3 linked regions of the Schizosaccharomyces pombe genome follow. The protein of the gene in region 3 interacts with the protein of the main gene of each other region in a pairwise test. Each region holds a gene or a part of one and is shown on either strand. Other genes may lie near its edges.

Region 1 (6,466 bases), on a different chromosome or scaffold from region 3:
CTCCAGCTATTGCTTCAGCATTTATAGTTCTTTTTGAATCCATGCTTTGTCGAGGAGTACTGAGAGCTGTTGTAGATGAACTAGTCGATTCATTTTCAAGACGATAAATTCGACCTTGTAGCACAAGATGACATTCTTCTTGAAATTTGGAAAAGTCAATCGTTGATAAATGGACCGGTGTTTCTTGGCTTTGATCAATTGAAGTTATTTTGGTATAGTTGAGTTTCTGTCCAACTTCTTCAACTTTATCGTCTTCTGTGTTTACACTAATGTTCTCACTGACATTGTTGACTGAAGGTTTCTTGTTGATCTCAGATTTTCCTTGAAAGAACGATAAATCGGGGAGAGTCCGACGAATATCTTTATCAATTTGTTCAAGTATTTGATTGTCATCGAAATATTCCTTCCATTTTGAATCATCACTAGTATTTAAAGGATGGTCACTGTTTTCGCCTGATTCCTCGTGTAGAGTTAGTTTCCTCCAAGGATCAATAAGAAGCTCTTGAACGAAAGATGTATAAGTTTTTCGATGTTTTTCTAGAACTGATTGCCAGTTTGATCTATCGGTAGGAAGGAACTCAAGCATCAACATCCAAGCTTTTGCCCTAAGTGAATATTCATCAGGAATTCCTTGAATACAAAGCGAGCATAAACCAGGGAGAGAAATTGGCTCTTCCGAATTTAAAATGTCTTTAAATTTTTCAATGCGTTGCTTATAGTCCATAATAAACTAGAAGCGATTCAAATAAGATATTATGTAGTTTGACTATATCCAATTTAGTTATATTATCATATATAAAATATTACTGTTGAAAATTAAATATATGAAGAAAAGGAGAGCGCAATTGGTGTGTTCAGTAGCCTGTTTCACACGTGGATGATGGAACTAAGTTAGCTACTAAAATTGAATGCAAGTTTAAGAACCGACTAAATTTTCTGACTTATTTTTTATACTAATTTCCTTCTTAACAATACTTCCCTAATCAAATACTGTAGGAAAGTACAGAGTAATGAACGTCCTTAGTAGATGTACAGTATAGGTAAGATTGATGTAGGTGCAACATACAGACCAGGAAAGAAATATTTGGTTTAAACAGCACCTAGAACGAGCAATTAATAATAATTGGATATTTATTAAATAAATGCACCGTTTTCTAATGTATGTATGTGAGAAATTAGCCTTGAGATTGGCTCCAGTTTTGATTCTATCTATAATACAAATAAAAGAAGAAAGAGTGGATATGCAATTTATATTAGGTTGTATATCGAACTGTTATGATGTATAAATATACGAAAATTGGTAGATAATGTATAACCATAAAAGAAGGCTTAATTAATGGAAATCAAAAGAATTCGGGTTGTATTCATGAAACTGGGGTCATCAATATGAAACTAAATTAATCATGAGAATACAGAAGTGGTTTGGATAAAGGAAACGGCATCAATACATTAGCAATACTCTATCAAAAAAAAAAAAAAAATTATGGAGATTGTTTTTATCAAAAATGAAAGCGCAGATCATGATTTTTGCTCCAAATTCAGTTGATCCATTGCAATTACCAAGTCCTCGCTCATTTGTATCAACTGTTGTCGTTCCTCCCTTTCGACCCGGAGCTCTTCTTGAAGCGCTTGCAGTTGTAAACGAAGTGTTTCCAAATCACCTGTCTGTTGTGATTGTTGTTGCATTAGTAACTTATCACTCTTCGCCATATCAGCTTTAAAATTGTTCAAAAAATCTGACATATCTTGGCGCTCTTGAATGGCTTTCTCCAGCTGTTTTTGGAGAGTCTGATTGTCTGCTTTCAATGCTCGCCTTTCTTCCTCCCAGTTACTGTTGGATATTTTTGGAGCATTAGGAGCAGTACCGATTTGATTTTGAAGCTCCTGTATAGTTGCCTCGTATTTTCGAGCATAATTGGCTTTGAAAGCATTAATTTTCTGAGTGTGCTTGGCTGAGTACTGAGCATGTAAATCTTCAGCAACTTTTTCCATGCGTTCTTGAATTAACTTGTCAACTTCCTCTTGAGTATATTTACCTCTCTGAAGAGCTAATGTCTCTTCATTATGCCCTTCAACAAGTCTCATGTTGGTATCCTTTGTGGAGGGACTAGTCGATGCTTTTCCAGATCTAAGTTGCTGAAGTTGGTCATTAACGGCAATCAATTGTCCCGAAACATTGACGATTGTATTTTGGAGTACGGAAATTTCATGATAAGTGCCAGCAAGTTTGGCTTTGTAGCCCTCTATTTCAGCTTCGTATTTCGCTTGCTGCTTTTGAGTGGAATTAATTGGGTATTGAGTAGGTATATCGGCCTGTGAAGTTGATGGTGTAGCAGAGTTGCGAATGTTGTCTTTCAAATGCACTGGTGGGTTCAACGGCGCCGTATTAGTTTGACGTGGGAAGCTTCCGTTTGAAAGCACTGGGGGCCTAGAACTAGCTGATGTTTGCAAAGATGATGAATGACTGTATGCAAAATTAGATGGAGCGGTATTTAAAGAGCCTCGTTGGGAGGCCGCATTGGACGATGAAAATAAAGAAGGATTCTTCGGCGTCAAAATAGATTCTACATTTCTTTTTCTATGCTTAAATTCTGGCGTTTTATGCTGTGACAAAGGATGGGATATGGGATGCATCGGTCTAGGGGTTCCTGAAAAATCAAAAGATTTATTCAACTCTAAGGCTTGTAGTCGATCGCTTACTCGCTTATTAAGAGTATCCTTTAAATTCAGCTGTGGATTGGGTTTAGAAGTTAACTTAGGGAATAATTTAGGGGCAGGCATGGATTCCTCTGAACTTCGTTGAGCTGGAGGAATCAATGATTCTGAAGAGGCACCTTGCCTTTTTTCATGAAAACCCGTATGATCAGTTTCATTTGTCCCAATACTAGATGAGGAGGGAGACCTCCTACTGTAATCTGTAGAGCTCGAAACGATATCACTCATTTTCGGTTATGACTTTTTAAAATCGTCAAACGATATAAAGAACTAACAGATATATGAAATATAAATACACAAGAAAATCCTTTTTCAAATATTTTACAGCTGGTATTATCGTTTCAAAGTTAACGATCAGTAGCTAACTTTTATTTTTACTTTTTGAAAACTGGTCAGATGTCCGCCTACGTAGAACAATGGTTCAATAACAAACTTGAGTCATACAATGCCCAATAAATAACCCCTTATTGCCCTCAATTCTTCGTCTTGATTCAACACTAGGCGTACAATGGTGGTGTAAATAAAAGGCACATACATACTGGTTTACACTGAGTAAGGAGAGAGTGGGAAGAGTTCACCGAGCTCTCGGTGAATTTTCGGTAGCTTGTTCTCCGAAGCCTTTGTAATAACACCAAAGTATCCTACTGTAAACACTAAACAATTTGCAAGTCAACCTTTGATATTATGTGTGCCAAATTTTAGTATGAAGAAAAATGAAAAGGCAAACGTATGTATATGAAAAGAGGGAAATCGTGATTATCTAATGAATGGCAGATATCGGCCTCATACAATGACCTAATTGCAACAATTTGCAATCCTCGTATCTCTGATGTCGGTACATATCGCATTGAGAGTGTTGTCGGTGAAGGTACGATACTTTTGTGTTATTGTGAACGCTCAATACTGGACGGCTATCTAACAAGCATGGGTTGTAGGCAGCTTTGGAAAAGTTTATTTGGCAGCTCATTTACTGACAAATACAAAGGTATGGGTTATTCAAAGATTACTATGTCTCTAAGTTATAAAAAGAAGAATAAACGGCTCGTAAATTGCGAATATTGACCGTTCCAAAGTCGGTTGATTACATTATGAGAATGATAAACGTTTTATTCATCAATAAATTGATTGTACCTTGCTAACATTTTTATTAAAGGTTGTCCTGAAATCATCTTGCAGGAAACAAGCGATTATCCTTGCTCGAGAAATTCATCATCATCGGCGTCTTCTTCATCCAAACATCACGAGGCTTTATGAAGTAGTATGCACCGAAGACCGAATTTATCTTGCCATGGAGTATTGTCCAAATGGTGAATTGTATGACTGGGTAGCGAGAGAAAAAAGGCTGGATGAAAAGACCACTTGCCGTATCATGTGGCAGCTATGCTGTGCTATTCAGTATTTACATAGACAAGGCTGTGTTCACCGTGACCTTAAACTCGAAAATATTTTTCTAGATAAAGCCTACAATGTTAAGCTTGGAGACTTTGGGTTTTCTAGAGATTCTGATTGTTCCCGTAGAACATTTATGAACACACGTTGTGGTACAGTTGCTTATTGTGCTCCGGAGCTAGTACAGGGCCATAAATATATTGGTGAATGCGTTGATATATGGTCTCTGGGTATAATTATGTACGCTCTCTTAATAGGAAGGCTCCCGTTCGACGAGGACGATGTATCTTTAACTGAGCAAAAAATTATCAATGAATGTCCTCAATATCCTGAAACACTCTCCAAAAACTCTTCAAGCTTGTTGAAATCCCTCCTTTGCAAGGATTACCGACTTCGACCCTCTATCGATCAAATCATCTCTCACCCCTATTTCAAGGAAAATGGATATCATTCATCTTCTATTCGAGACCCAAGGCCTTCCTCGAAAGCAGAGGAAAAAGTTCGTAAAAGGCTTGAATTTGTTGGTGTTGACATGGATCAACTTAATGCCAGCATCTCACAACAGCGCTGTGACATGTTCTATGGATGGTGGCTTTTATTACTAGAAAAAGAAATGCGTAAGGAAAACAAAAAAAAGAAAGGTTTGTTTCATTTACATAAAGGTTCATCTTCGGCTGTACACATAGCTCCAGCAACTCCATCATTAAAAACCGCTCAAGTTTCTGTTATGTCCAACAATCAGGATTCTTTAAAAAGTCGGCATACATCGTCAGATTCAAGTAATTCTTTGCTTTCTACATTTCGTAGTTGGTTATTCGATCCTAAACAAAAGCATACTGCTGATACGTTAAGCTCATCAGCAATTAGACCAAGAACACCTAGTCCTTCGGCTGAAAACTATTTAACTCAAGAAAATTTTGATTCCGATAATTTATCTGAGTCTTTAGACAATTCAGTTGAGAACCTTACCGTGTTTCCTTCGATTAACAGTTTTGGAAGAAGACACTCAAATCTTCCTCAAACAACGCACGTTGATACAGGTGAGCAAAACACACCATTCACTCCTCCTCTTTTAAAAACGGTAAACCTCGACGGTAATAAAGACTTTACCTTCCCCTCGAACTCTCAAAATAGCCCTTCTAAAAGTTCGAACCTCTCAATTAATATTGATATTCCACCTTCTCCTCTGCAAAATACTGTCATATCTCCCCAGCCGACTCGACGATCACGAACTCCCATACGCAGCTTGTCTGGGCGTTCTTCCGTTGCTTCTTCGAGGAATTCATCCCGTACTAGATCCTATTCAAACGTCTCTTCTGCATCTTCAAATTCTTTAATTTCTATTATTTCATCTAAACCTTCCAGTTCGACCGTTCAAAGGCAAACACCTTTTCATTCTCCTTTTGAACGATTGCACAAAAGTTTCCATTTTCCTTCCGGAGAGCCATTTAACACTCGTATAAATGCTACTGCAATTTTTACAGTTGGTTCTGGTAGAAAAAACCCGCAATCATCTTCCTCTCTGATGTTTAATCAAAGCTCAGTCAAAGAGGAAGAGGAGCCGGAAGAAACCAGTTTTTCAGACTCTTCAAAACATTTCACAGACTTGCTCTGAAGCTTAAGTTTATTACACGATTACTAAGCTACGTGGTGTGTATAATTTGAATTATTAACTTATTTTGCTTTAATAAAGTGTTCTCTTAAATAATTTAATCAAACTTTTAATCTCTAGTAGTAATGACCTTGTTCCTTAACTTATCCCGCTTGTACCACACTAAATCATAATCTGTCAATTTTTTTTATGCTACATCTTTTTTCATTCGCTTTTTCCAAAGGATGAGGATTGATTGATTTGAAGTTGTTTGTCAGTACCTCCCGTAACAATACCAATGGATTTATTCCAATCAACAGCGAAAAGTTTATCCCACTGAGAGCCTGTTTTTTCTGCTCTAGAAATTGTGTAAATACTGCCGGATGTAGCACGGACATCCCAAACACGACAAGTGTTATCGTGAGAGACGGATGCAAACATATAGGGATTTTCTGGGCTTGCCGATAATCCGGAAACTAAATTCTTGTGGCCGGATAAAGTATGACTCACAATTTTGTCGCTTCCCGCTCGAGGGTCGTGAACAACAATGTGTCGCGCAGAGGAACCACAAATGACTAAGTGTAGGTCAGTAAGTTTTTCCACGCATAAAAGAGGAGCTTTGGTTATCTTGGAATCAACATTTTGCCCAGTAATGAGATCCCAAGTCTTAATTGTGTGATCTTGGCCTACGGAATATGCAACACTTGGATCATCAGAAAAGACGATATCCATCACCGGTCCAGTATGCCCCTCACAAAGGATCAGCGGAGA
Region 2 (5,972 bases), on a different chromosome or scaffold from region 3:
TATCTAGACCGCTAAAAAAATCCCTTTCTTTCTCATACGTTGAAATGTTTGATAATCAACCTACGATAGCTTTGCTGAGGTGGCTTCATAAATGTATGTATAAAACGACTTCAGAGTTGTTTCACTGGTATATAATTAAATATTACATCAAAAATTTCCTTAATTTATTACGAGTACCCAGTTAAATAAACGTGTATTTTATTAACTTCTAAAAAGATGTGAAATTTGAAATAAATGTGATATTATGAAAAATAAGGAATCATTCCTCAACATGATTTTCAAAGTTTTTCAGTAAGCTCCGGGACGATTTCAAATAAGTCACCTACAATTCCCACATCTGCTGTTTGAAAGATAGGAGCATTTTCATCGCGATTTATAGCAGCAATGACTTTGCTATCTTTGATTCCGGCAAGATGCTGAATAGCACCATCAATTCCAACAGCAATATAAAGCTTTGGGGCGATGATTTTTCCAGTTTGACCTATTTGTAAAGAATTATCAGCATAGCCAGAATCCACGGCAACACGTGTAGCACCAATTGCTGCACCCAATTTGTCAGCCAAAGGTGTAAGGATGCGTTCAAATGTCTCTTTGTCTTTCAAAGGTCGACCACCAGCAACAACTCTTTCGGCAGAAGACAAATCAGGCCTAGCATTCTTTATAATATTCTCACTAACCCATTCTTGTAGAGCAGCTGGTTTTGGATCAATACCTTCAACAACAGTGGCTGCTCCTTCACCACTTGAAGGAGCGGCGTCAAATGCAGATGCACGAACGGTGACGATTTTAATAGGATCCTTTGTAGACACAGTAACGTTTACGTTTCCCGCGTATGTCGGACGAACGAATGTGTCAGCAGAAACCACACCAATAATGTCACTAATCTGCATCACATCAAACATAGCAGCCAAACGAGGCATCACCCCTTTACCAACAGTTGAATGAGCAGAAAAAACATGACTAATTTCATTTTTCTTAACATTTTCAAAAAGAACATTGGCTATTTGATCGGGAATGTTATGCTCATATGACGGATTCTCAACGTAGATAACCTTTTTCAAATCGTTCACCGATTTTGCTACCTTTTGAGAAATTTGAGAAGAATCCTTACCGATTACAAATCCAAAAACATCCCCACCGGTACGCTTTGCTGCTTCTACTGCTGACAAGGATGCTGGAGACAAGTTCCCTCCCTGATGCTCAAGCAACGTCAAAACACTAAACCAATGCCTTCTTCCACAATTTATTTTAAAGTTAGAAGAAGACAAAGCCCTAGAAAATGTCCGGCTAGTAGTCCTTAGCATGTTAGAATACTTCGTTGTAGGTTTGAGGGTGAATGAGGATGTACGCTGACAATATGTATGTTCACATATTATACTAAGAAAAAACTTAAGTAATACAGTCTTACATTTCAAAGGTAAAATAACTAAAAATAAGTAATCGTGATATATTTAAGTGATTTATCTACCAGAAATGATTTTTCGTGAGTATGAAAACATCCTAATTTTCATATACCTTACATTTATTTTTTTTGATAACCAACTGCCAATATTTTGACAAATTCTTTCAATACAAAGTTTAAAGTCTATAGCGATTGCAATAACTAGGTGCATCATTAAAAATAATAATAATGAAAATTCTTTTCAAATAAAAAAAAATATGAGAAACTCAATGTATCCTTCTTAGCATTACAGTTATTGAATCGTTCATCAACGTTAAAGTTCACTAAGATATTAGGAGACAAAAGGTGACTTCACTATTTTATTTTAATAACACACTCCACATTCTTATACCACAAGCATTGCTTTCTAACGATGGCAAGGAGTTTTGTTCAACTACGCACACAAGATAGTAAATAAACAAGAAAATCGGTGAAATTTCCTAATCACTTGTCCAAACCTCTTCACTTACTGCTTAAATACAAAAGAGATTACAATTTTCATATTTAAACGGTTCTCTTTTAAAGAAGAACAAATCAATGATTGAAGTCATTGTCTCTTAGTACTCACGGGGGTTTTTTTTACTTTTGTATATTAAAACGTTTCGAGGTCATATGGATCCGTTTGCTGGTACTGGTCAGTCCAAAAGTTATCGAACTTTTGGAAACGTCTTTCAAAGACTCTCCATGTCTGGCAACCCAAAACCTCTCGCCAAGAAACCACTTCTACTCCCTGAAGCTTCAAAAGCCATTGAATTTTGGAATTATCGAGATGTTATAGGTGGTGAAGAGGCCGAGCAAGAAAGAAATGAAAGGGCAAGTAGAATTGCAATATCCAGAATTGCTTCCAGCAGAAGTTCTATTCCAGAATACAGGCAAGCTATTATGCAGCATCTGACAAAACATGTTCAACAACTTGACCAGTTGGCTGAATGGTGATTAATGAGTTTATGATATAAATTCTTATCCTTTCAAACACCACATCACTAAACACTAAATTAATTCAAAATATTAAGAATAATTTCTGGCAATCTGTGTCTCAAGATAGTTTTCCGCTACTACCCTCTTGGTTGCAGCTTTCAGTTATCCTTTGCAAGTGTATCAATAAATTCTGCCAGCTTTAAATCTTTTTCTGTAAGTCCCTTTGTATCGTGAGTTGTCAACGTAATATCCACTTTATTGTATACATTAGTCCATTCGGGATGATGATTTAGCTGTTGTGCACGCAATGCGACACAGCTCATAAATCCCCAAGCTTCAATGAAGTTTTTAAAACGAAAGCTTTTAAATAGTTTTGTATCTCCTTGTTGAAGAATCCAGTTGTTTTTTGATTTCGAGACTAACGCCAGTAATCTAGCTGATGTGTTCATTTTTTCAACCTTCTAAACCAACGTTTATTCCAGAAAAAATGTTTTTCTTCAAAATTTAGGTAAAATATCAATGTGATGTGTGTAGAACGTAACTGTTTTAATACACTCAATTTACCTCCTTTTACTTTGGTATGTGAAAGAGAACGAAATCATATCGTCTTGTCTTATTCACAACATCAAAAGAGTAAATTTAGCTACTACGCTAAAAGAACCTCTTCTACAGAGGAGCATTAGAATTATATTTGTTAATTGTATAAACAGTTTCCTAGTTTTATTTCCAAAATAAATAAAATATGCTTGGTTTGGTCTTGTAGCATTTTATCCATCAGTTTTTATGGGTAAATAGTCATTCGCTCTTTTTAATGTTAAAATATTTTATTCATGGAACACTTCCTAATTTTTAAAAGTTTATCGACTTGGCTTCAACACATAGTGCTTCTATAAGTAACAAACATGTTTTAAAACAAGATATCAATACCATTAACAATATCATTTTATACATGGATCAATCATCCATTTATTCGATAACTATAATCAAATAACCTCCTGTTTGCATAAGAGAAAAGGTGAGACTTAGCTTACGAGACATTTATGAATAAAAATAAAAATACTTGTAAACAGTTAGGTTTCACTGCAGCAACATTCCAAATATCAAATGGGACCTTCAAACACAAAATTATAAAAACCCAAGACCGCCTCTTTTCTCGAGAAGCATGAAGCATTGAAACCAAACTCAAAAGGTTTCTTTCACGTCACTTATCAAAAAAATTGTGGAATTCCTTTGCTGACTGACATTTTCAAGCTCTTCAACTTCCTTTCACCCCTTCTTGTGTTTCGCTTCCAAGATGTATAAAATGAAGGAATTGTCATGTTGATTTTTCATCCTTTAAGAACAAGATTCCTCTTAGGTTTCTGTTCTTTCCTCAAATTCTCAATTGACATTTGTTGGTGATATAAACAACCATAGAGATAGAAGCGGTTTCTCAGGCCTTCATTTTTTTTAAACCTCAAAATTTAACTTTTGAACAATTCGTCACGTACATCAAACATCATAAACGTTTACGAAACGCATTGTCCCAAAAATAGTAAACTGGCTAAGCAATAAAACAAAAAATACACATATGTTTCTTATAAGACCTTTAATAAGAAAGCCAAAAAATATTTACTCAGCAAAGCTTTAATCTAACCATTGTTCACTGACTCTCGCTTTACTGAAGCAACATCGCTAATGATCATTTTACGTTTAAAAAAAAATAGAGTGTATACGAAAGCAAAACAAAACAAACAAAACAGAACAAAACAAAAATAATGTAAACCCAAAGTATAATCAAAAACCATCATCAGCCTTAAAATCTCTTATACATGCATACAAATCTTTTGGAATAGAATAAATATATCGCTTTTACTCTTTTTTTGTTCTGAATTCCCAACCTCTTTTTAATTGCCAAAAGTTATTAATGCTTCCTTCTTACTTGTCTTCGAGCACTTCTACAACCGTGGTACACACATATTTACCGATTTATACGTGATACATTAAAATCGAATGCGGCGTTTACTAATGTTTATAAACAAAAACGTGAGGTTGTCTACATTTACCTTCTCCACTTTTGCGCATAAAGCATTGTTTTCAAATCACTCAATAAATGCGATCTAGTTTGATCGTTGGCTAATTGGATTTCAGTGGGGAATTTTAATTGCCGAACAGCTTTATAGTTTATGTGAAAAGAAAAGAAAGTGAGCAAGTTGCTAATATTAAATGATGTAGTTATCTTTCATGCCAGAGAACAATCTGGATGTCAAACGACCTCTGTGTAAAACGCGCAAATATAGGAGACGCATGCGCTGAATAAGGGTTGAAAGAAGAAACACTGTTAAAAGAGGGTTTTGCATTGGCGAAAAAAGATGTATGGAAAAAAGCACGCGTAAATAACAAAAGAAATCCTTACCGAATTATACAGCAAGGTGGAGATTACTACACTAATGAAGGCAAATAAAAAATGTGATTTCTTTGACTTGTCCATGTTTTTCGGGATGGATACAACGTTGTTTTTTATCTATCATCTTTTTCAAACTTTCAAAAGGACTAACTTACCTTTACAAGCTATACACTAATTACCACTGATTTGAATAAATAGCCTTTTGCTTCAGTAGACAAAGCAAACACCATAAAAGAAAATGCATTTAGCGTTTCTCGCTATTTACTCTATCTAACGCGAGTCGCGTTGGCTTTCAATCTGTCCAAATTGGATCAGTTGTCCCGCTTTTTATGGGATTTTTTTTCCATTATCGTCCTCTTATATTAGAGCTTACTGACATCGCATCATAACTTTAGATAGAGTAACGAAAGCCGACCGATTTCTTTGTTCCTATTTTAAAGTTTCTTTGTTTTACAAACCCTTCTCGAGCTAGCCCCTCAGGGGCATTGCAAAAACGTTCACAGTAAATGCCTAACAGTAAAGGCTACTGAAATTTTCATCGTAGGTCTATAAATTTCGTTGATTCCCTTTGTTTTCAACGCTTTGTTTTCGCCACTGAAAGCTGCTGTTGAGATTCTTTGTTTACTTGGCTTACTTCGTTTCTTTGTTACTCTTCCCACTTTGTGTTACACGGGACAAAGGCAGGGGTAGCATAAACAGTACGTCCCATTCAATCAAGCATTCTCCCAGTAATTGTCGTAATATTTGCGAGCAAATAAAGTCCTTTTTGACTTTGTGATTTCTTTGAAATAACTTCTTTGTTCTCTAATTACTGTATCTCATTATAAAGCATCCAAGCCCTCTCATTATTCCCAACATACAATCCATCCTTCCTCCAGCAATCCGGCCGGACAGATTGTTGTAATTATCTTTACAGAACTATTTTGGGCTGGCTTTTTGATTTGTACTGAAAAGCATCGCATTGCATTGCATCGTTTTTGTTTTGTTTCGCTGCTGCCATTTAGGCTGTCGTATATTTTGTTTGTCTGAAACTTAACGTTCCTTTGTAATAGAGAAAGCAAAAAATATATACCCCATTTTAAAAAAGGAAAGGGAAATTGCTTTTTTTTTTTTTTTTTTTTTTTTTACACCTCTAGTTAGTTGAAAAACCATATGGAAAAAACTTAAGTTTTTATACATCGTGCATTTACTTCTTTTCCATTACTCCATCCTTGCCAATTGTTTCTC
Region 3 (7,152 bases):
GGTTGTGAGTCTTTCTCCTCAGAGGTATTAGTATAAAGGGACATTGTTAAAGGACGTGCATTAAGATTATTCTTTCTACTAGGGGAGAAATTTAAAGTTTTATGAGATTTTGTTGAATCTCGGGTGGGAGAAACGGGAAGAATGGAATTATCCTCGGTCAAGTCTTCAGGGTCAATGTTCGACGTAGATAAAAAAGACAGTTTAGTAGGAGATAAGCTATTTGGGTCTTTCCATGTAAAAAACACACAGTCCGCACGACGGCGTTTGTGCTCGGTGTAAGGGTCATCATCCGGTTCCCAATCATGAAGATTAATATCACAATATAAGCAATGAGCTGCATCTTTAGCATCAGCAGTTGGATTGTATACAAAACCAGAAGCAGCCATTACACTCGGCTCACAGTGATAATCAGGGCGATTGGTATACGGCCATACTTTATCAACAAAAGTTTGTTCTCGACATTTTGTGAGAGCTGCAGCTTGGGGGTTCTGGTTTGGATTGTTTTTTGAGGATAAAATATATGCCCATGGACAGCTGGGGCTATGAGTAATATGCTCTTTCAATGGATCATCATCATCCTCCCAGTCATAAAATGACTTGGTACACATATAGCATGTAACATTATCAAGTCTTTCTTCAGAATTAGATTCAGAGATTGGATTGTAATAGAAACCGACAGTAGCAAGCTATTTTCTTGTTAGCAACACAGATGAAAACTCTATCGTCAACATACAGTTTCTGGCGTCGGTTTGGCTCGCGGCCATTTTTTTTTCTGGAAAGTGTCAAGTCGTTTAGAGTAATTACACATTTCCCTTCGAAACCGATTCCATCGGCGTTTAGAAGAAGACGTTATCGGTTTCATTCTGAGCAAGCTTCAACAAGTGAAATTTAGATACCAAATTTCGACTTCCGATCCTTAAAACTATAAAATTAATTTTTTTAAAACTTCTGGTTATTGTCTTTAGACAATATCAGATACTTCCAAATGCATAGGATAGGGAAGGTCGCCTCGCAAGGCGTATATGGGTAATGTTTACTTTTTGTAGATTGCTAGGGCACACGAGTTTACTGTAATTGAACAATGTCGTTATATTGCGTAAAATGTCGTTAAGTAGTATAGCAGACTTTAATAAATGGAAGGTTCACTGGTTACAAATTTTTCGAGATGACTAGGTTTAGATATTATATTGAGTAAGGAAGATTCAATTATTGTCTTTAATGTCAGCCTTATGATCTTTGTTAATAAATTCAAAATTTAACTAGAAGATTTTTGCTAGCACAAAGTAATGTATCATAGTTTGGTACTAATATTGTTACATATAATAATATTAAAGCTCCAACTCTAAAGTATGGAGCATCGTGAAAGAAGAATAAGGCTACATTTTCATGGCTATTCAAAGGAAACTATGCATATCAACAAGACAAATCTGATTTCATTTTCCTCTTTCGATGCGATGGTCAAAGTTATGAATACAATGATGAATCAGCTGTCTCATTAGAAAAAAGTTGAAAAGAGGATGACAAATGCGGTGGAAATATTGAACTTCCTAAAACCTCAAATAAAAGTTAAGCAATAGAGGAAGTACAATCATGAAGACAATGTAAAATAAATTAATTGAATTAGTCCCATGTTGTTTCAAAGGTACAAAACCTGTATCTAGTAGTGGAGCAGCCAAAAGCTACAACTAAATCGACAACAAAGACCAAAACTGTTGAATGATTCCTGTGTTTCGTCAATAAAACAAATAATAAACTCACAAAATAACCACGATCTATAAACCATTCGTTGGTTAGAAAGTGAATGAAAAAAAGTAAACAAAAGTTCGTTTCGACACGCACACTCAGGACGGACTTGAGAAATAATTTAACAAGTACAAGATGTTCAACTTTCCAGCACAATCATTAAACAACAATATAACAAAATGAGAAGAGTGACAACTGCGGAATGTATGTCTAGGTAAACCTCCTAAAATGTAATAATCTCGTCTAATAACAATCGCGCCATACACGTAAAGGTAAATGAAAAAATCGGCATCCTCAATTGCTCAATGAAATAATTTAACGATATTATAAACCACAGGACCACAGCCAAAATCATGAAGCCACTTCGATGTTTATGAAAATGAACAATCTAAAAAAGAACGAAACCTAAACAAGCATAAATGAATAATGTATGTGAAGTATCATTACATAGCCATATCTTCGGCATTAGTCGCCGAAAATTGAAAATCGCCGGCAGGCTCTTGTGTAGTTCCAAATGTAAACGTATCACCGACGGTTTCTGGTTCAAGCTCTTCGATTTCGTCTTCTTCACCGAAAAACTTTTCGATAATATTGTAAGCTTTTTGGTAAATTTCCGAATTAGATGAGTTCTGACATTCGTGGATCAAATCCATACCACCAGCATCCTCAACGTAGACGGCGTATAAATTGATTTTATCAGGGTTATTCGCGCGATCAAGTTCACCCACTCGCAAAATATTTTCAATACCATCTAAAGCAACCTGGATAATCTTGTTATCTTGACAAGCCAGCAAATTACATAAAGGTTTGATTGCGCCTTGCTCTACAAGGTAGCGAATTTGGTCGGGACGACGAGCGCCACCGGATGTGGCATTGGAAATGGCCCAGCAGGCTTCCTTTTGGATTTTAAAGTCAGCGGTCGTAAGGAGATGAATTAAAGGAGGAATAATGTTAGCTTCAATAACATATTGAATTTGAGAAGAATTACCGGCCGTTATATTACTAATTGTCCAACAGGCTTCCTTACGAACGCCATCGCGTGGACTGCTTAACAAAGAAAGTAAAGCACTTAAAGCACCACAATTAATGATGACCTGGGTCTGAACGTCATCTCCTGTAACAATATTTCCTACGGATCGGAGAGCAGGAGTCTGTACTTGAGCGCTAGGATGCATTAAAAGTTCAACAAGCCTACGAGGAATCCCTGCATCAATGATGGCTTGGATCTTCTCATTAGCGCCATCAGATAAATAGGAAATGGCCCAAAGGGCATCAACTAAAACATCTTCGTCTAAGGTATAAATTAATTTCGACAGAACAGGGATAACTTGCGAAATGCTGTTCCAATCGGGTTGTGGATTTTTGCCTCGGCACATATTAGACAGGGTCCAAGTACTATTGCGGAGCATACTAAGACGCCTGTTAGATTCGATTATGTTAAGCAAAGGCTCCAAAACTCCACATTGCAAAACATGATCACGACACATGGGTGAATCACCAGCAATGTTACCTAATGCCCAAACTGCTTGCTCGCGTACATCTTGTTCAGAAGAAGATAAAAGGCTTACAAAAACAGGAACAGCATTTGCTTCTACAACCACGTGTGTTTGATTGGAAGATCCGCTAGCCACATTAGTGAGAGCCCAAGAAGCCTCAAATTTTAATAAATTGTTCTCATGAGATAAAAATTCGACGAAGCGGGGGACAACGCCTGCATCAATAACTTTTTGAATTGGTGGGTTTGTCTCCTTAGACAAAGCCTTTCGAAACTTGGCAGTAGCTTGAATTTGTGCCTCTATGTCATCCGAATACAACGCCTTCAATAAATCAGGTAATTGAAGCTCCAACTCTAAATCATTTTCCTTATCTTGTTCTAATGGAATAGTTTCTTCGGCAGGCTCTTGAACATCAACCAGATTACGACGCTTGTTCAAATTTTCCTCACGTTTTTGTTTACGGATTTCGATTTGCTGGGTTTCACGTCTGCGGCGTAACTCATCAGCCTGAAATGTACCTTTACCTTTGTAATTCTGTCTTCTGTGTTCAGGAATAAAGCGAGAAGATGCACTCATGTTCAATTCCTTTAGTTACTCGTTCTCTAAACGTATGGCGAAGGATACGTCTACACTTGGCTGATTTCCTGTCATGGACCAGTTCATCAATCGTTCGTAATGATTATAGCGAATACTCCAGATAATTCATAAAAAACTATTATATATCTTCTTATTAAAATAAATCTCCTTTATGTATAAATATTTTTATATATGTATATATTTCATTTTTATACTCTTCCATTTAGAGAGCTCGTGAACATTCTCTTAAAAATAGTTAATGCTTCCAGTGTTTATTTCAGTATATCTTTGAAGCTTGCGGGTATTTGGCAATTTTGTGTAGAAAAGAAACTAATATACAGCTTAACAGAATTCTCTAGCCATAAAATACATTTTAAAGACTGCAACTCTTCTTTATGTATTCGCAAAGTGTCTGCAAATTGCATGTGTAAACGAATTTGGTAATGTCAACAACTATGCTTGTTGTGTAGCGCTAAACACTTCCAGTGAAGAATGAAATGATCTTTTTCTTATCTAAAAATTAATTTTGCACTAGATGATTTCGTTTCTTATTCCAAAAAAAATAAGCAATTTGTTTGGGCAATGTTAAAGCTTTTACTATACTAGATAACGGCCTGCATCCTAGTCGAGGTCGCATTTACAGAGCACGGTTAACTTTTCAAGAATAATCCTTTGAATAAATTGAAATTAAAAAACACCATATACTTCATCAGCCATCACTCGTTCTGCTATTATTCAATAAATTGAGATTAATTGGTACTCCATGTAGTGTATTTTAATGCGTAACGTAATGTTTATTAGCAGTGTTGGTGTAGCTCACTATCTAACAACTAGTGTTGCATAGCTTTCAAAGTATGATAAACGAACCAAGGCATCGTTATTATAGCGTATTTGGACGCTATAAAAAATTAAATAAGGAATAGCGATAACTAGTGTGTGGCATAGTGACACGAAGAAAACTTAAAGATTTAATGTTCTTTTACCGAATTGTGATTTTGTACCCTATTTATTTGTGACTGTTTTTTGGGTAAGAAGAGCGTAGGAAATGAGTGCGCGAAATCCTGAAATTTACAAGTTACCACCATGTCGGAACAAGGAGACCAAATTGAACAAGTTGACGTCGTCGAAGAAGTTGAAGTTGAGGCTGCCGCTCCTGAAACTGTCTCCGTTGAGGATGCTTTGAAGGAAGTTTTGAAGCGTGCCCTTGTTCACGACGGTCTTGCCCGTGGTATTCGCGAGGCTTCCAAGGCTCTTGACCGCCGTCAAGCTCACCTTTGCGTTCTTTGCGAGTCCTGTGACCAAGAAGCTTATGTTAAATTGGTTGAGGCTCTTTGCGCTGAATCTGAGACTCCTTTGATCAAGGTTGCCGACCCCAAGGTTTTGGGTGAATGGGCTGGCCTTTGTGTCCTTGACCGTGACGGTAATGCCCGTAAGGTTGTTGGATGCTCTTGTGTTGCTGTTACCGTAAGTTTAAATTTAGCCTGGCGCAGGTGAAAGGCTTTGTTCCTTGTTGATTTTGCATATGATTAACTAACATGTAATTTAGGACTATGGTGAGGATTCCGCTGCTCTTCAAAAGCTTTTGGAAAGCTTCTCTGCCTAAACTATCTAGTGGTAAACGAAGCAATATGAAAGGATTTAAAAAAAATTTATTTTCTACTTCAGAATTCGTGTGTAAATAGGTTTTTGTAAAGTGAAGTCAGAGAGTTGAGTGTAGTTTTGAGTAGCACAAAATAAATCGAAAGCATTCTGGCTATTCAACACCTTATAAAAGGATGGTTGTCGCCTTATTCCTGTGTCAGAAAAGAAATCAGTTTTTTTTCTGACACCTTGCGTATTGATGATAGAGAAAAAAGCATATATTGTTCAACTGCTGCTAAGACTTGAATATTATGCTTACTTTTTTAAAATGATAAAAAACGCTAATGTAAACAAACTTACACTTGAGGCTTATAAAAAAACCATATCCATTAGCTTTTGACAAAGCTTTTTCTTGTCCGATCACTTCAGCATGTATGAATTTGATGAGTTGTTCGATTTTTGCATTTGAGCTAATGAAGGATACAATGTAATTTGAAATTGAACGGCCAACCATTTCCTCAATATAAATCATCAAATCCAACTAGATAAACTTGTGTTAGTAACTCTAATTCTATAAAGTGAAACCTACAAGTTTTGGTTAGCTAGCAGTCATTAAAGGCAGTTTTCACATTTTCCATTTACCAATCTACTCAATTTTTAAAACGCTGCGAGAGATACTGCATCAAATGTTATAGTTCATGTATAAATCCTTACTTTGAATATTTAAAATTATCGTTAATAAAAAAACACGATAAATGAAATACTCTCCTCTTCAAGAAATAATTTGATTATTACTCCTCGAGTGTTGGATTTAAGAGCACTGTTCGTACTAATAGTCATGGGAGTACCTCGATTGGGAAGGTTTTTGGAGCCATTTGGAAAACCAGTATATTTTTCTTCATACCCAGAGGTACCTCTAAATTGCAGTCTCGTTATCGATGGACCTTCTTTTGCTTTTTGGCTTTGGTTTTCCCAAGGAATAGTTTGCTCCGATTTTCAAGGATATCAGAAAGCAGTATTGGATTTCCACCACTTGCTTAGTAGGTTGAGATTCAAAGAAATGTACGAATAAATGAAGAGTTTTTAATTTATACCTCAATTAATTGAAGCTCCTCTTGTGGTTTGCATTATGGACTATCATAATGACCTTTTTTTGACTTATTCACTTTCTAACGCATACAGAGAATACATATTTGATGGTGGACTTCCCTTTTCCAAACACCAGGTTAGAGTCAATAGATATCAGCAAAAGATTAATGATCTACGTTCTGCTTATATAAATCTTTGTGTGCCAATTGCTCAACATGTGCTTATGGGACTTGCTAAAGCCAAGGTAATTGTATGTAACGAAGAAGCAGATAAATATTGTGCATTTCAAGCTAAAAAGCTTGATGCTGTTATTTTAAGTCAAGACTCGGATTTCTTGCTTTATGATATAGACACACCACACTATGGATACATCCCCTTGCAGTCTTTAGATGTTACTTCCAACGGCATTAGTGGAAGAAAATACAGGTTTGATGAAATACAAAAAGATTTCCATTTCGATTTGCATATTCTTGCTGCCTATTTGGGTGTAGAAGGGCATCCTCTCGACCTAGTAATTGATTATCACAACACCTTTGAGCATATTTGCAAAATCTTAGAGAACTCTGTAAAAGATAAATTTATCGAAAAGTTAGTTTCCAAAGAAGAATTGACTCGCGTTCACGCATTCTACTCGCTTAATGACCTCAAGCTAGAAACATCTACTATA

Evidence for each region.
Region 1: the proteins of cut15 (region 3) and alp7 interact in a two-hybrid assay, tested with the Schizosaccharomyces pombe proteins (one study listed by BioGRID).
Region 2: the proteins of cut15 (region 3) and omt2 interact in a two-hybrid assay, tested with the Schizosaccharomyces pombe proteins (2 studies listed by BioGRID).

What each region holds. Positions count from the first base shown.
Region 1 is NC_003424.3:5,001,253-5,007,718, forward strand, and holds alp7 (kinetochore-associated protein Alp7), read right to left. Parts: upstream 3,234-6,466; 5' UTR 2,944-3,233; coding exon 1,519-2,943; 3' UTR 1,148-1,518; downstream 1-1,147. Other genes in the region: tbc13 (GTPase-activating protein), read right to left, coding at 1-724; serine/threonine protein kinase Ppk16, read left to right, coding at 3,419-3,442, 3,490-3,583, 3,651-3,700, 3,869-5,719; ribosome biogenesis protein Ytm1, read right to left, coding at 5,921-6,466. UniProt on the Schizosaccharomyces pombe protein: Required for bipolar spindle formation and proper chromosome segregation. Has an indirect role in connecting the kinetochores and the plus end of pole to chromosome microtubules by targeting alp14 to the spindle pole body.
Region 2 is NC_003424.3:4,514,378-4,520,349, reverse strand, and holds omt2 (4-alpha-hydroxytetrahydrobiopterin dehydratase), read right to left. Parts: upstream 2,903-5,972; 5' UTR 2,809-2,902; coding exon 2,518-2,808; 3' UTR 2,378-2,517; coding exon of another isoform or gene 2,054-2,377; 3' UTR 1,532-2,053; downstream 1-1,531. Other genes in the region: etf1 (electron transfer flavoprotein alpha subunit), read right to left, coding at 279-1,304; anaphase-promoting complex subunit Apc14, read left to right, coding at 2,054-2,377. UniProt on the Schizosaccharomyces pombe protein: Has a role in spore wall formation.
Region 3 is NC_003421.2:548,287-555,438, forward strand, and holds cut15 (importin alpha family nuclear import signal receptor adaptor Cut15), read right to left. Parts: upstream 3,862-7,152; 5' UTR 3,816-3,861; coding exon 2,187-3,815; 3' UTR 1,269-2,186; downstream 1-1,268. Other genes in the region: survivin Bir1, read right to left, coding at 1-686, 734-862; rps1201 (40S ribosomal protein eS12), read left to right, coding at 4,899-5,279, 5,362-5,418; XP-G family protein ast1, read left to right, coding at 6,235-6,458, 6,579-7,152. UniProt on the Schizosaccharomyces pombe protein: Binds specifically and directly to substrates containing either a simple or bipartite NLS motif. Promotes docking of import substrates to the nuclear envelope. Seems to act as a cytosolic receptor for both simple and bipartite NLS motifs.